Rattus norvegicus: one gene and its partners. The protein of the gene in region 3 interacts with the protein of the main gene of each other region in a pairwise test. Links are inferred from orthologs where the notes say so. Each region holds a gene or a part of one and is shown on either strand. Other genes may lie near its edges.

Region 1 (4,294 bases), on a different chromosome or scaffold from region 3:
CGAGAGCTGAGGCTGTACTCAGGGAGATAGAGTGCTTGCCTGGCACGCACAAAGCCCCAAGCCTGAACCTAGTACCTACAAACGACAGAGCAAATACTCATGAGGTAGAGGCAGGAGATTCAGTAATTCAAGGTCATCCTCAGCTACTCAGTGAGTTCCACACCAGTCACCTGAGACCCTGTCCTTAAAAAAAAAATTGGATACTATGAATATGAAAAAAAAAAAAAGTCCAGAAGCCAGTATAGCCTCAAAGGAAAGATGTTCCCAGTAGGAAAAATGTCCTCAAAGAGAACATCCAAGTCGAGACACATGCATGGAAAGACTGGCGTTCCAAACAAATATAGGATGCCACAGCCCTGCTCGCTAAGGGTTTGTTTATTCCTGAAGAGCATGCATGTATCCACGACTTCCTGTTTCACATCTCTGTAACACTCACCTCTCCGGTCTGAGTCAATGAAGAATTCTTGCTGTTGAGATAATTCTCAGCCTGAGTCGACTCCTGTTGAGCTCGGCGTCCCATCTTGGCCCCCTGAAAGGAGAGACGGAGAGTACAGCTGACCCAGTGTCACCTGAGGCCCTGTGGGTATGACATACAGTAAGCCAGGACTGGGCTTTTACGGGATAGCAGAGAACAGGATCTGAGTAACGTGTGTGTGTGTGTGTGTGTGTGTGTGTGTGTGTGTGTGTGTGTGTGTGTATGATATATGAATATATCAAGTGGAAATATTCATAGAGAATTCTCTAAACCTTTATGAGAAAGTACCCAAGTTAGATCTACTTGGTAGAATAGGAAACATACAGGTTATTGATCGTGAGATTTTCAACAGCCACAGTTACTGCAAAAACAAAGTCACTGTTCTGTCCTGTTCTGTCGATGACAAACAGAAATGCAGCTAGCCTGGGCAGTGACCTCAAGTCATATAGCCCAGAGCAGGTGGTAAAGGCTCCCACGTTCCTAGACTTGAGGCAGCTAACAGGCTTTAAGAGAGAGTTCCTCAATTCTATGGCAGCCTAGTAATCCAGACACCTCTTGCTCTGCTGGTTAGATCTGCATCTACAGGCATGGAGGGAGCTCTACCACAGGAATGCTGAGACAGCAGCCTTGGCAGCTATAAGTGAGCACCTCAGGATTCTGAGTCAACAGACGAAACATTTGCAGGTGTCCCCAGGCCCTCCAAGTGGGTCGGGCCTCTGTTGCCAACACTCCCCAGAACAAAAGGAAACTCTGAGGCACACTGATGGGTGCTGAAGAGTATCTGTGCAATCATTTAAAACAAAACAAAACCAGCACCAGCATAACATCTTCAGGTCTCATTGCCGGGGCTGTGCTCCAGTCTCAAGATGCTATGGACAAAGACTGAGACCGATGGAAGCCAGGACGGTGATTAAGTAATGTTCGAATTTAAATCCTATGTTCGTCCCACATCCCCAGAGCACCCCACTGAAAACCTGGTGCTAAGTGTTCTAAGAAGGGAGACTAGGGTTTCCGGAGAACCACATTAAACAGACAGAAATCACTAAAGTGGAATCTGGCCATCCAATTGCAACCATCAACTCTTCAAGTTACAAGGCCGATCTTTTGAAGTTTCAAGGGTGACGGGAATAATTTTTCTGATGATACAGTTCATATCTTTCTCTAGAAAGATACCCTCTTTTGTTTGTCCAAGTATCTGATTCTACAGTAGTTACCCTGAACAAAAATGATCCTGTCTGTAAACGTCCTTGACAAGCGATTTCTCTATCAGCCGTTAATGTTTGAGACTATTTGAAGACCCTGTAAAATTCACACATAGAAAACCTGAGGTCATGTATTTTAAGGGCAGACTTTTTATTGTCTTTTCCCCCTTATCCTTCTCCCCCTCAACTAGAGCAAAGGCCGGTGGTCTGTTCTCTGCTATCTATCTCTCCAGTGCCCAGAACAGCGCCTGATCCACAGCAGGGCTCACTACATATTTGTGGAAAGAATGAAATAGTCACTACATTCACATCCCAGGTACCAAAAAGGTTCGTGTATCAGAAAGACTTGGTGGCCTAATGCCCGTAGCTTTTTAAAAACCCTGCTCTATTAACTTCTGCCCCTTTATCTCCCTCCAATAGGTGCCTCTCTAGAACCTTGGAGGGCATAAGATGGTACCAAGGCCCTTCGGGGCACCTGAGATTTTACATCAGAAACTAAGGACTTGACAGGCGGCCCAATTCTTCAGTGGTTTCAACCAACTCTAAAGGCTATCCAGACCTGGTGGGCACCGAGACCTGGTGGGCACCGAGACCTGGTGGGGGAACTGTGACAGTAAGAAAACACTGAATGTGGGTCTTTAATCAAGTTCTGTTATTTGCTGGCTAAACGCCGGTCATAGGCTGGGAGGAAACAACAGGAAGGTCAACGAACTGCTGCAAATGCTTTCCATGAATCGCCCCATTTCATCTGCACAGCAACACTAGCATGGAAGTCGAGGCTAGGTGTATTCTGGTCCATCAACAGATCTGTCACCTAGTTACTCTCCCCATCCCCAACCCCCTACACATAATAAAATGGAGTATTGATTTCCAATCCTGGAGGGGGAGCAGAGATTAGAGAGCATGAGGAAAGGACATCTCCAGCCAGCTCTCTTCTCAGTCTCTTTCAGAACTTCCGGGACTAGACTGCCCTAGAGAAAACTCCAGGGCGGGAGCGGGCGTGGTCGGAGCGGGGTCAGACCCTCCGTTAAGGTGGAATTCGCACTCGGGCAATTGGGCCAGGGTCTGTCCCGACTCTGGGCTTCTCAGAGAGCCGGGCCACTTGTCCCACCCGCCAAACCGGACCCCAGCCCCCAGCATCGCTCCTCACGGAGGTGGCCGAGCTGCGACGTTTCTCCTCTCCCAGATCCAGTAAATCGTCCATCACCGCGGCCGCTGATGTCACTTCCTGGAAACAGCCGTCTCCGCCGCGTCCCTAACAACGACCCCGCCCTTCCATCCCAGTCCTTAAAGAGTCCGCCTCACAATTCCTAGGTCCTGTGTGTCACCTTCCAATTGAAACCAGATCTTTCCTACACTAACTTTGCTGGACTTCGGAGAAAACAAAACAAATCGCCAACTAGCAAGATCCTCTCTAAGGTTGCTGCAGAGAGGTTAGCCCTGGGGACTGCCTAGATTCGTAACTCTGATTAAACACGGTTGTGAGTGGAAGCACTGCTCTCAGTGATTATTCTGAGCCCTCACATTCACAATTGACAGAGGCCTTCAGAGTTACTGTTCAAGGATAGACGTGCGGTGTTATTTCCATTTGATGGATGAGCACCAATGTAATAAATAGTTTACACATTTACAATGACTTGCAAAAAATCAGTGTGTGTGATTTCTGCCTTCAAGAGGTTTATTGAAAGCAGTCATACATGGTGATGCACGCCTGTAATTCCAGAACTTGGGTGTTAGAGGCAAGAAAAATTAGTTCGATGTGACAGGGGCCATAATCCCAGCTTGTTACTTAGGAGGATGAAGCCAATGGACTACTTATGACTAGGAATGGGACTCCAGTCTTGGCAACACAGTGAGACTCCATTTCAATAGAAATAGAAAAGAGGGTATAATATTGGGGTTCTAACTTAATCTGAACAACCCCACAAAGTGGGTAGCAATGACTCATCTTACCAGCAAGACAGACAGACAGAGGAAAATGACTCCAGTCCCAAGTGCCGGGACAGCCTTTGTAACACCACATGTTACTGCAGTGACTTCCAGCACGTAGTGGTTCCCAGCCATCCTCCTAGGCCTGCAGGAGATAGCCCACAGACAGCCTAGGGGGTAGTCATGTTGAGTCTTCATTGATTCATTCTACATAAAATCCCTAAGTCAACATCTCCGGCCAGTTCTTGGCACTGCTCACTAGGACTCACAGAAAATGGAATGTGGATCTCCACAGTTCAAGAAGCACTGGGAGGGCTGCACCTAAAGCTTAATGACAAGCATTGCTGAAGTACCCAGCAAGTGACATTCAACTCAAGGTTTCAGTGCCCCTTTTACTGAGCAAGGCCAAGCATTTTCATGCCCAATGACGCCGGCCTGCGAGTTGGAAGAATTGATTTCTCAGCCCAGCCTTGCTTGACCTCAGTTTCCTTCTGAGATCCTTACTGGCTTCTCGGTGAGAATATTTTGTTAGATTTTAATCAGACAGAACAATCAGTGCCAAAAATCTAAGCCAGCTTCAATATAGGCACCAACTATTCCCTTGTTCCTTCTTCCTTGGCACCAACTGTGCAAGAAGGGATTAATGTTTGAATTTTTCAACTTCTTGTAAACTCCCGCCCACTTCTAC
Region 2 (4,363 bases), on a different chromosome or scaffold from region 3:
AGGATGACGTATGTGCGTGCCTGTGATTCTGGCGTGTGCAGGGGGTGAGGTGGGGGTGGGGCACAATTTTGTATGCTAAAAGCTCTTAGGTATTGGGCTGATGAGATGGCTCAGCAGGGAAGACACTTGCTGCCAAATCTGAAGACCTGAATTTGATCCCTGAAACTTACCAGTGGAAGAACACCTCCCTCCAGTTGTTCTCCGACCTCCACACATTGGCCTGGGAGCACCTCCCTCAATAGATGGATAAATGTAATCTGAAAAAGTTTAAAGCTCTTCACTGGGAAGGTGGCATCTGAGTAAAAAGACCTAAGGAATGCCAGCGCTTTGAGGGCAGACGTTTATGTCTGGTTTTGTTTGGAATTATCCTCTTGACCTCTAAACAGGGCCTGACTCGGGCATAAGCTTCCAGTGCTGACCTGATTCACAGGAGAGGAAGGGGAGGGAAGGACCTCTACTGGATAACCTGGGAGAGGCACGTTTAGGCAGAGAGAACCCTGCCAAAGCTGGAGGCAGGGGGATGCCTGATGTGTTCCTGAAAGGATGAACCGGAGTATTTCACTTCTCTGGAGCTAAGTCAAGCCCAGGGGAGGAAAGGACGGCCTGACTAGCAATAAAGGGATCTCAGTAGCCACTTAAAGTCTACTGCTTGCTTTCCTTCTGGTGTGTGTGTGTGTGTGTGTGTGTGTGTGTGTGTGTGTGTGTGTGTGTGTGGGCTTGCTTGCTTGCTTGCTTGCTTTTCAGACAAGGTTTCCCTCATTATCTAAATCAGGGCGGCTTCAGATGCCCCATCCTCTTGCTTGGCCTTGCAGATGTTATTACATCTGTATGCTTAGTTTTGAATGAAATGGAAAGCCACCGAAGAGTTTAGATCTCAGAATCTGACAGAAGTCTGACTAGGGTTTTCTCAGGTCATTCTGGAAGATACAGGACAGAGGAAGGGAGACAAGAACAGAGTCCCTCCATCCCTGAAACAACCATTCCCTGTGCTGACCAACAGGAAAAACTAGACCAGACCCTTATATGAACCCACAGTCTGTGTCCAGTGCGATGCTTTTAAATTTTGCTCTGTGTCTGCATTTCCTGGGGTAGTTGGTAAAATTGCAGGTCACAGCCCTCATCTCTCAAACTCATTAAGGGGATCTGGAGGTAGCCATTTGGATCGGACTACACCTGCCCTGGTGTTTGTAGAAGTACCCGGGGAGTTAGCAAGAGTCCGAGGTATTGGGATGCTTGCCTGTAAGAGGAGGTTGGAAACAGCAACCCCTCCCCTAAAGCCTCAGACAAAGAGGGGACCCTCTTCCTCCACTGCTCCTTGGCTGCTGCACTTGGGAGGGCTGACGGGGCAAGGTGGGGAGGGACTGGAGGGAGTCCTCGGCTGGAAGCCCCCCTCCTGCCTCCAGACAAAGGGTGGTGTCCTATAAAGGCTGTGGCAGAGACCCTGCGTCCAGGCGAGGGCGCACACAGACAGGCGCTGCGACAACTGCGACCGCGCCAGCTCCCAGCTCCTGGCAAGAAGGTGCGTTGACTTAGGGGAGTGGGAGCAGCTACTGAGGGGACTCTGGGTGACCCGGGAACTTTCGGCGGGACAGTGGCAATAGCGCGGCTCTTGGGAAGCTGGTCCGGACTCCTAACGCATGTTGTCAAACCCGTTTTAGCTGGAACGCAGAAACAGTTCCTTCCATCCCAGGGTTCTTTATCTCAACCCCAGATCTGTTAGCGACCCTCTGAGACTTGGCAGATCTGAAATTTCGACCACTAGATGTTTTCCCAGCCTCCCGAAATAATGTATATGGGCAGGTCAATGGTTTGCTACCGTGGGTGAGATAACTTATTCTTTTTAAGGGTGGAGAAGGGATAGATAGGAAATGAGGGTTCATAGACAAGCGGCACACTGGACAAAATGTGCGGAGGAGTCAAGTGTAGGCAGGCTGCGAGGCGCTGGTGTGAAGTGCGCCTCAGAACCGAAGTCCCGGGCACATGAAAGCTATTAGTCCGCAGCCCACAAAGCGTATCCAGTGAGTCCTACTGACTCAAAGCTTAACGTGGGGCTGCTTAAGAGAGACAAGCTTGCCCATAGTATAGTATGTATAGCGGGTGCTAAAATGTGAGTGTGTATGTGTATGTGTGAGCGAGGATGGGGTGTACACCTCAGACCAGCAGTGATGGGGAGTGGGTTGGGTTAAGTAGATAGGTAGGGACCTTCCTTGTACTGTTAACTTTTTAATTATTTTTTGAACTGGCATGGGCTAACTTTTTAAAAATCAACGTATAAGGTGTTAGGTATTGCTGTAACAGTTTCAAATAAACTGTGTTTTAGTCGTTTCCTTCTCTCATCTCACTGCCCTCTACCCTCATACCATTCCCACACACACACACACACACACCTTGTAACCTTCCCCGGTAAATCTTGCTGGCTTGGTGCTTTTTCCTTAAGAGAGCAGAGCAGTGCCTGGTGTTGGCTGTCAGACCCCATCCATCCTCTGTTCAGCTTTCCAAACTGCTGCCCAGCTCTCTCTCTCTCTCTCTCTCTCTCTCTCTCTCTCTCTCTCTCTGGACCAAGTCTTAAGAGACAAACACACGGATTGGGTTGGGTTGCAGGAGATAAACTGAAAACCCTAAGAACAAAAGAGCTGTTTGAGCCTGAAGGCCTGGGGCTAGCCATGTATGCAGTGAGCTTTGGACTTTTGTGCCTTTCTAGATGACCTGGGTTTTGTGTCCAGGAGCTGCGGGCACCAAAGAGCAGCAATTAGCAGCATGATCTCCTCTTGGAGGATCGCCATTTTCTCCAGTTAATGGGCTACTCTCTGGTGACCATATAATAAACTTACAGTTTATTTAACATAGCATTAGTCCAGGCGCTTTCTACAGCCCCCATGCCTTAGTGAGATAGTTCATCCAGGCAGGCCTTAAGCGTATGATCCTTTTTATTTCCTTAACGTTTTTATGTGTATGGGTATGTATCTGTGCCTGACTTTCCTGGCTGGCACCCAGACGAGGAGGCTGATTCTTCTGGAGTTAGAGTTACAGACAACTATGAGCTGCCAAGTAGCTACTGGGAATTGAACTCCAGTCCTCTGAATGAACAGCCAGTGCTTGTACCTACTGAGCCATCTCGCCAGACCTTTTGCACCATTATTATTATTTTTTTTTTTTTGGTTCTTTTTTTCCGGAGCTGGGGACCGAACCCAGGGCCTTGCGCTTCCCAGGCAAGCGCTCTACCACTGAGCTAAATCCCCAACCCCCTTTTGCACCATTATTAACTCGAGTCTCTAACCCCTACATACCTAGGGATGTGTGGCTAGAATTCAAGAGTCCCGTGAACTTGAGTAAGGAGACATTGGATCTTTAATTCTATTAACATTTATTCTAAATGTAGCATTTATTTTATTTATAAACATAGGTGATTAAATGTATTAATATCAACATGGTTTTAAATAAAGTAAACAATTTTGGGTTCTCTCCTTGGAATAACAACTTTAAATGTGTTAAATACGAGACACCAGACAGGGGGAAATAAGCAGTTGTATTTAGTAGCTGTTCAGATACTTTAAGATACGATACAGTAGCAAAGTTTTATCCTAACACAAGGTAGTGGTGGCAAACTTGTCACCAGTGGAGGTCCTGGATGCTAGCATGTCACACCCCAGATGTTGCAGATCGTTTCTTAAAAGTTTCAAATGTCACTCCTTAGGAATTTTGGTAATATGTGTAGTTTTTAATGTGTTAAAAATTAAGCAAATGCATTGCCCTTTTACACTTTTATTTTAGTATTTAAATAACTAACTACTAAGTATAACCAACTAATCTTTGTATCTCCGTACTTTTAACTTATGCATTCACAATTTTGACAAATGAACCAATATGTATTTAAAATCATCATTCTGAGTGGACTGCAAACCCGGGCTTCCCTAGACCACCAAAAAAATTCACGGAGAGGAAAAAGAAAAAGCTAACGAACCCTAACGTAGTGAGAGTCGTCAGTTGTGACATTGGTGCTTGCCTGGCCCTTGTTTCCACATCTCTCCATGGCATCTGGTGTGGGATTTTTTTCCCTCTCTTCTGTTGCTTTGAAATCAACATTAGAGGCAATCAGACCTTGCAACTGGAAAAACACTAAATGTAATTTTCCTTTGATTTAAGAAGTACTGCAGCAATTTTCCAGTGGCCTCTATTTTGAGCTTTTCCAGCTTGTTAAGTCACTGATTTCTATTTCCCCCGTGGAGAAGGAGAGTAAAACACTCGAGGCTAAATCAACAAGTAATTACCAAGCATCCCTAGGATGGCAGGCTACATTTTAGAAGAGTCTTTTCTTTTCTTTTTTTTTTTTTTCTTTTCTTTTCCCCCCTACTGTTCCTTCTGT
Region 3 (4,528 bases):
GGACTGGCCTTTAACTAACTTTGTAGGGGAGGATGACCTTGAATTAGTTCCTAATGCTCCTGCCCCTTCCTGGGATTACTGGCCTGTGCTACCACAAACAATGTTTATTTTCACTTCAGATAGAAATGAAAGCAGAATAACAAGTTATGTATTTATCATATAATTTAGGCTTGTGTAGACATTGTAAAGATGTTTGTTTTCTTAATTTAAAGAACAAGGACTTAAATAGGAAAATGTCTTTTTATATACTGGAGGTGGGTTTTGGACCAACCCGAGGGTATGCGCACAGACACAGATTTTAATTATTCCCCTTCAGTATAAATTTCAGGACGTGGAGGCAAGAAAATGACAGGAATCTGTGGGTGTGGTTCAGGTTAGTGCTAAGGAGAAATCAGTGAGGATTTTGCTCTGTACCAGGAACCCAGGATTTCTGTTCTGACTTCAACAATCATCTTCAGGCTATTAAAGCCGTCTTTAAAATGGGACTGAAATGCCTACGTCCTTGATCCAGGCTGTTCTTACTAACGATGGATTCTGAAGGCACTCGGAATTTTCCTCTTCACAAACCTGAAGACTGTCCTCATCATAAGCTAACGGGACTTGAACGATCATTTCTGAACTCAGTTTCAAGGAACTCGAGGCCCGGGAGAACCTAGGTTTTTCTCCCTGCAAAACTAGCTAGCTAGAGTCCTCTTCTTTCCCTTCTGCATTTCTTTGTCCTTCTAGAACTTGCCTTCAAGCCTGAAGGAGAAACCTGTCCTTTTCTTTGCTTTATATAGGGCAAAATAATAGTAAGTAACAACTGTAAGGTTCTTGATTATTGGCAAGGAACTTCCTCCGGTCCAAGTATTGCTGATACTTTGCAGAGAGGGCCAGCCTAACCGCTGGAGTTCGCTCTTTGAAAGATGCTGAGGGAGGGAATTCTGCCGCCAGCAGATGGAGAGGAGACCCGGACAACGTGGTCCCTCCCAGCCACCCTCCCTGCGGGATTAGCTGCCCCCAGCTCTGCTCAGGCGCACCTAGCGCGTGAGGTCCCTGGTCATACAGCTTGCGTCCCCTCTCTGGAGCGCAGTCGCAGCTACGAGCTTGCTGCCAGCAGAGCCGCACTGTCTCAGGCTTCGTAGAGCACCACGACCGTGGTCTTGGGACCTCGAACCCGAGACGAGCGCTCGCTAGCCAGCCACTAGCAACGCTTGCATTTCTTTCCTGCTGGAACCGCCAGGTGGTTACTTTCAGCCTGAAACCAAAGGGAAAGGGCAGAAGGGGAACTCTGAAAAGGACGGTTTAGTGGCAGCGGGCTTCTTGCCCCAGGAGTGGTGCTCAGGGAAGACTCTCGGTCTCTGCCACGGGTCCCTTTAAGAAGCCAAGTCGGGGCTGCCGCCGTCGCCGCTGCTGCTGCTGCCGCCGCTGCTGTTTGGATTCCTAATCCCCAGGAGCCCCGTTTTTTTTTTTTTAAAGGAAGAAAAAAAGGGGGAGGGGGCGGGCAGCTGTCTCTTTAAATGTGATTTCCTTCTATTGTATTTGAATCGTGATCAGGAAAAAGGAAATGAAACCAGAGACAGAGGGAAGCTGAGCGAAAATAGACCTTCGCGAGAGAGGAGGGAGCCCCGGGAGAGCCGCGCGGTCCGCTCCCCGCCCCCAGGCCGCCGCCCCCTCTCTGCCCTCGGCGCCCCGACCCCAGCGAAGGTGCGAGGGGTTCGGGGCGGCCGGGCGGAGCCGGCGACTGCGCGCGATCGGGACCGGGCGGCGGCGGCGGCGGCTGTGGTGACGGCAGCGGGACCGGGATGGAAGGTTAAGTCTTGAGCAGCGGCAGCTGTCGCAGCCGCCGGAGGGAGGCCGGGCTGCTCCCCGGCCCCCTGCCTCGGCCGCCGCGCGCGGGGCAGCTGGGTGATTCGCTCTCTCTCTTTGGCGTTTGAAGGGAGCGCGGTGACTGTCCTTGAGCGTGGAGGGGCGAGCTCGCCGGCCGAGCGACCGAGCAAGAGGAGGCGCAGGAGCGGCGGCGCCCGAGCACCCGAGGGGGTCCGAGTCCAGGCAGCTAGCCAGCCACGCGCCACAAAGGGAGCGCCCCCGCCGCCCGGCACGCCTCCCCCCTCCCCAATGTCCTCGGCCATCGAAAGGAAGAGCCTGGACCCGTCTGAGTAAGTGTGGCGCTTCTCTCCCCGCACCCCACACCGGGTCCCAGGCAAGGCGCGAGGGGCTGACTTCAGGTGCGCGCCCGCAGCATGCCCTTGGTCCCTCGGTGTCGCAGGGGTTCTCTTTCCTCGCGGGTGACTCTGGAGACACCGAGAGGGGCTGGGCGGAACTGGAGGAAGCTGTAAACTGGGATCAACCCCGCGGACCGCTCCGGGCTATCTAGAAAGCTCCCCAAACCTTCACAAGGGCCAGAAAGTTTGCCCAGGAGCAGGCACCCGGAGCTCCGAGGCACAGGTGCAGGGCAGGGAAAGTGGAGGACGAGATTCTGCCTTCTCCCCTTTCGTCCCACCCTCTCCAGATTCCCTTCCTTTTTGTCTATTTGGCTTTGGAAAGAGGGGCATCCCAACCAGAACGTCCCTGGTGTCTCTGACAGTCTACTGCCAGGCCCGGAGTAGAGCAGATAGTCGATGAGGTCCGCCTGTCCATCTGGGGACTGGTTCTGGCCTCCAGAGACTTCTAGAATTGCTAATCCGGAGTTCCTCCGGGTGCATGTTCACCCCTCCCATGAGTCTCCTATTGTGGGCATGTGAACCTCGAAAGTTGGTTCTTTTTTTTTTTTTTTTTTGTTCCAGTGTGTTTTCCTAGGGAACAGAATCTCATCAAACTTTCAGAAGGGCTTGGGGTCAGCGAACCAAGAGTTGTATGAGTATGTACTGTCTTATGCTCTGAGCTTTGCGCTGGTTTGCAAAGAACACCCCCATTCCACAGCCTGTACCCTAGCCCATTCTCTAGATTTAACAAGGGGAGCCAAGAATGAAGGTGTTGGGGGTTTTTTTTGTTTTGTTTTTTGTTGGGTTTTTTTTTTTCATGTCCACACAAATGCCCTTTTAAGAATCATTAGCTGTCTGGTTTTGAGTTTTTATTCCTTTGAAGTCCTCATCTAATCCTTTGAAGGGATTTGTTAACACAAGACCAAAGGAGCTGGTTAATGACTTGTCCATTTGGGCTTTTAAGACGCATTTGTTTTGGTGGGGTTTTTTCCTCCTTTTCTTTTCCTGCTTTAAAAGAATTGTGCTTTCCTGCTGAAGTTTTCCTACTCGCCTCCCCCCCTTCAATTTCAGTCTTGTGTGGTGTTTATTTACCTGGGCTTTACCCTCAGTCAGCAGCATAAAAACCCAGCGTGTTCTCATAAAATACAGGAAGTCCCACGATCCAACGAGAATATAAACATCACTCTTCAGTCTTGAAGGTTAAGACACACAGCTCAGAAAGGAGCTAGGTTTGTTGACATAAAGACCAGCTTCCTTAAAATCTCAGGAAAAACAACAACCCTTTAAAAAAAAGAGTCGGTGTCTGTAGCTTGTTCCCTTTTAAAAATACATTTAAAATTACATCTGAGCCCCGAGTTTTCAGAGATTGGACGAGACATAAGATTACACAGTAAGGGAGTGGGTCTGGCGAACTGGTGTTTACTGCTTTCCTATCAGCACAATTTCACTATGAATCCTATATTAGACATTGAGTCTACAGAGTTTGGTACCTTAAAAAAAAATACTAACTGCATGGATGTGTGTGTGCACCTGAGCGCAGGTGCTCTGGAGGCTAGAGGTGATGAGTCTCCTAGAACAGGAGTCACAGATACTAGCACTCACCTGTTTTGCTTGTGGAGACTCCTGGGTCCTTTGGGAGAACAGAAAACATCCTTAACTGCCAAGCCTTCTCTCCAGCCTGAGGATTGGGTTCTGTAAAGGAAGTTCACTCTGACTAAAGTTTGTGTCTTTTTTGCCCCAGACTAGAAACCTGAAAGGTATCTCACAGCTGTAATAGTGAGCACCCAGTTCATGAGGTCCTCTAGTAGTTCATCCGTCCTACAGAATGTGCCCAGAAAAGGAAGGCTGTAACTGAAGATGGGCAAGCCCTGTGGGAAATGTCTGTGGAACATTTCCCCTCTGTCTGGGAAATTTTTGAGAAATTTTACCAGAAATCAAAGCTAAAGGGACACTCAGGTGTCCTATTTAGGACAGGCTGGTAGAAGGATATCAAATATTAACTTAAGGTAAATCTCATTCAGTCTTTGGCTTGAATTGTTCACCAGAGAGAATGGCATGTCATTAATTATAGAAAGGTAAACTGAGTCAGAGTCTGGTCCTGTCCATATCTGTCCTCAGACCGGCATGTCTCGTTCTCCTGTATCTCACTCTCTTGCCAGCGGCCTCACCGAGTGCTTGCTCGAAGCCAGCTTGGATCTTCACCATCGCATCTCCAGATGCAGGTCAGCCCTTGCCTAGGCTTGTGCAAAGGTATCATGTGCACAGGAAGCCAGAACTCATGCACAGAGATTTCCTTCACCATGCAGTTGGTGATCCCTTCGGATCATCTTAATTCTGGAGGGCTT

What was found.
Region 1: the proteins of Lmo2 (region 3) and Ift43 interact in binary tests that used the Homo sapiens proteins (3 or more experiments, as listed by UniProt). The two-hybrid records come from large-scale screens. The link is inferred for Rattus norvegicus from reciprocal best matches to the Homo sapiens genes LMO2 and IFT43.
Region 2: the proteins of Lmo2 (region 3) and Tal2 interact in a two-hybrid assay, tested with the Homo sapiens proteins (2 studies listed by BioGRID and IntAct). The link is inferred for Rattus norvegicus from reciprocal best matches to the Homo sapiens genes LMO2 and TAL2.

Annotation. Positions count from the first base shown.
Region 1 is NC_086024.1:111,459,369-111,463,662, reverse strand, and holds the start of Ift43 (intraflagellar transport protein 43 homolog), read right to left. Parts: upstream 2,913-4,294; 5' UTR 2,882-2,912; coding exon 2,828-2,881; exon of another isoform or gene 2,818-2,827; coding exon of another isoform or gene 2,803-2,817; intron 530-2,802; coding exon 437-529; intron 1-436. UniProt on the Homo sapiens protein: As a component of IFT complex A (IFT-A), a complex required for retrograde ciliary transport and entry into cilia of G protein-coupled receptors (GPCRs), it is involved in ciliogenesis.
Region 2 is NC_086023.1:73,204,921-73,209,283, forward strand, and holds the start of Tal2 (T-cell acute lymphocytic leukemia protein 2), read left to right. Parts: upstream 1-1,451; 5' UTR 1,452-1,519; intron 1,520-4,363.
Region 3 is NC_086021.1:110,819,890-110,824,417, forward strand, and holds the start of Lmo2 (rhombotin-2), read left to right. Parts: upstream 1-1,563; 5' UTR 1,564-1,784; coding exon 1,785-1,791; intron 1,792-1,918; coding exon 1,919-2,138; intron 2,139-4,528. UniProt on the Homo sapiens protein: Acts with TAL1/SCL to regulate red blood cell development. Also acts with LDB1 to maintain erythroid precursors in an immature state.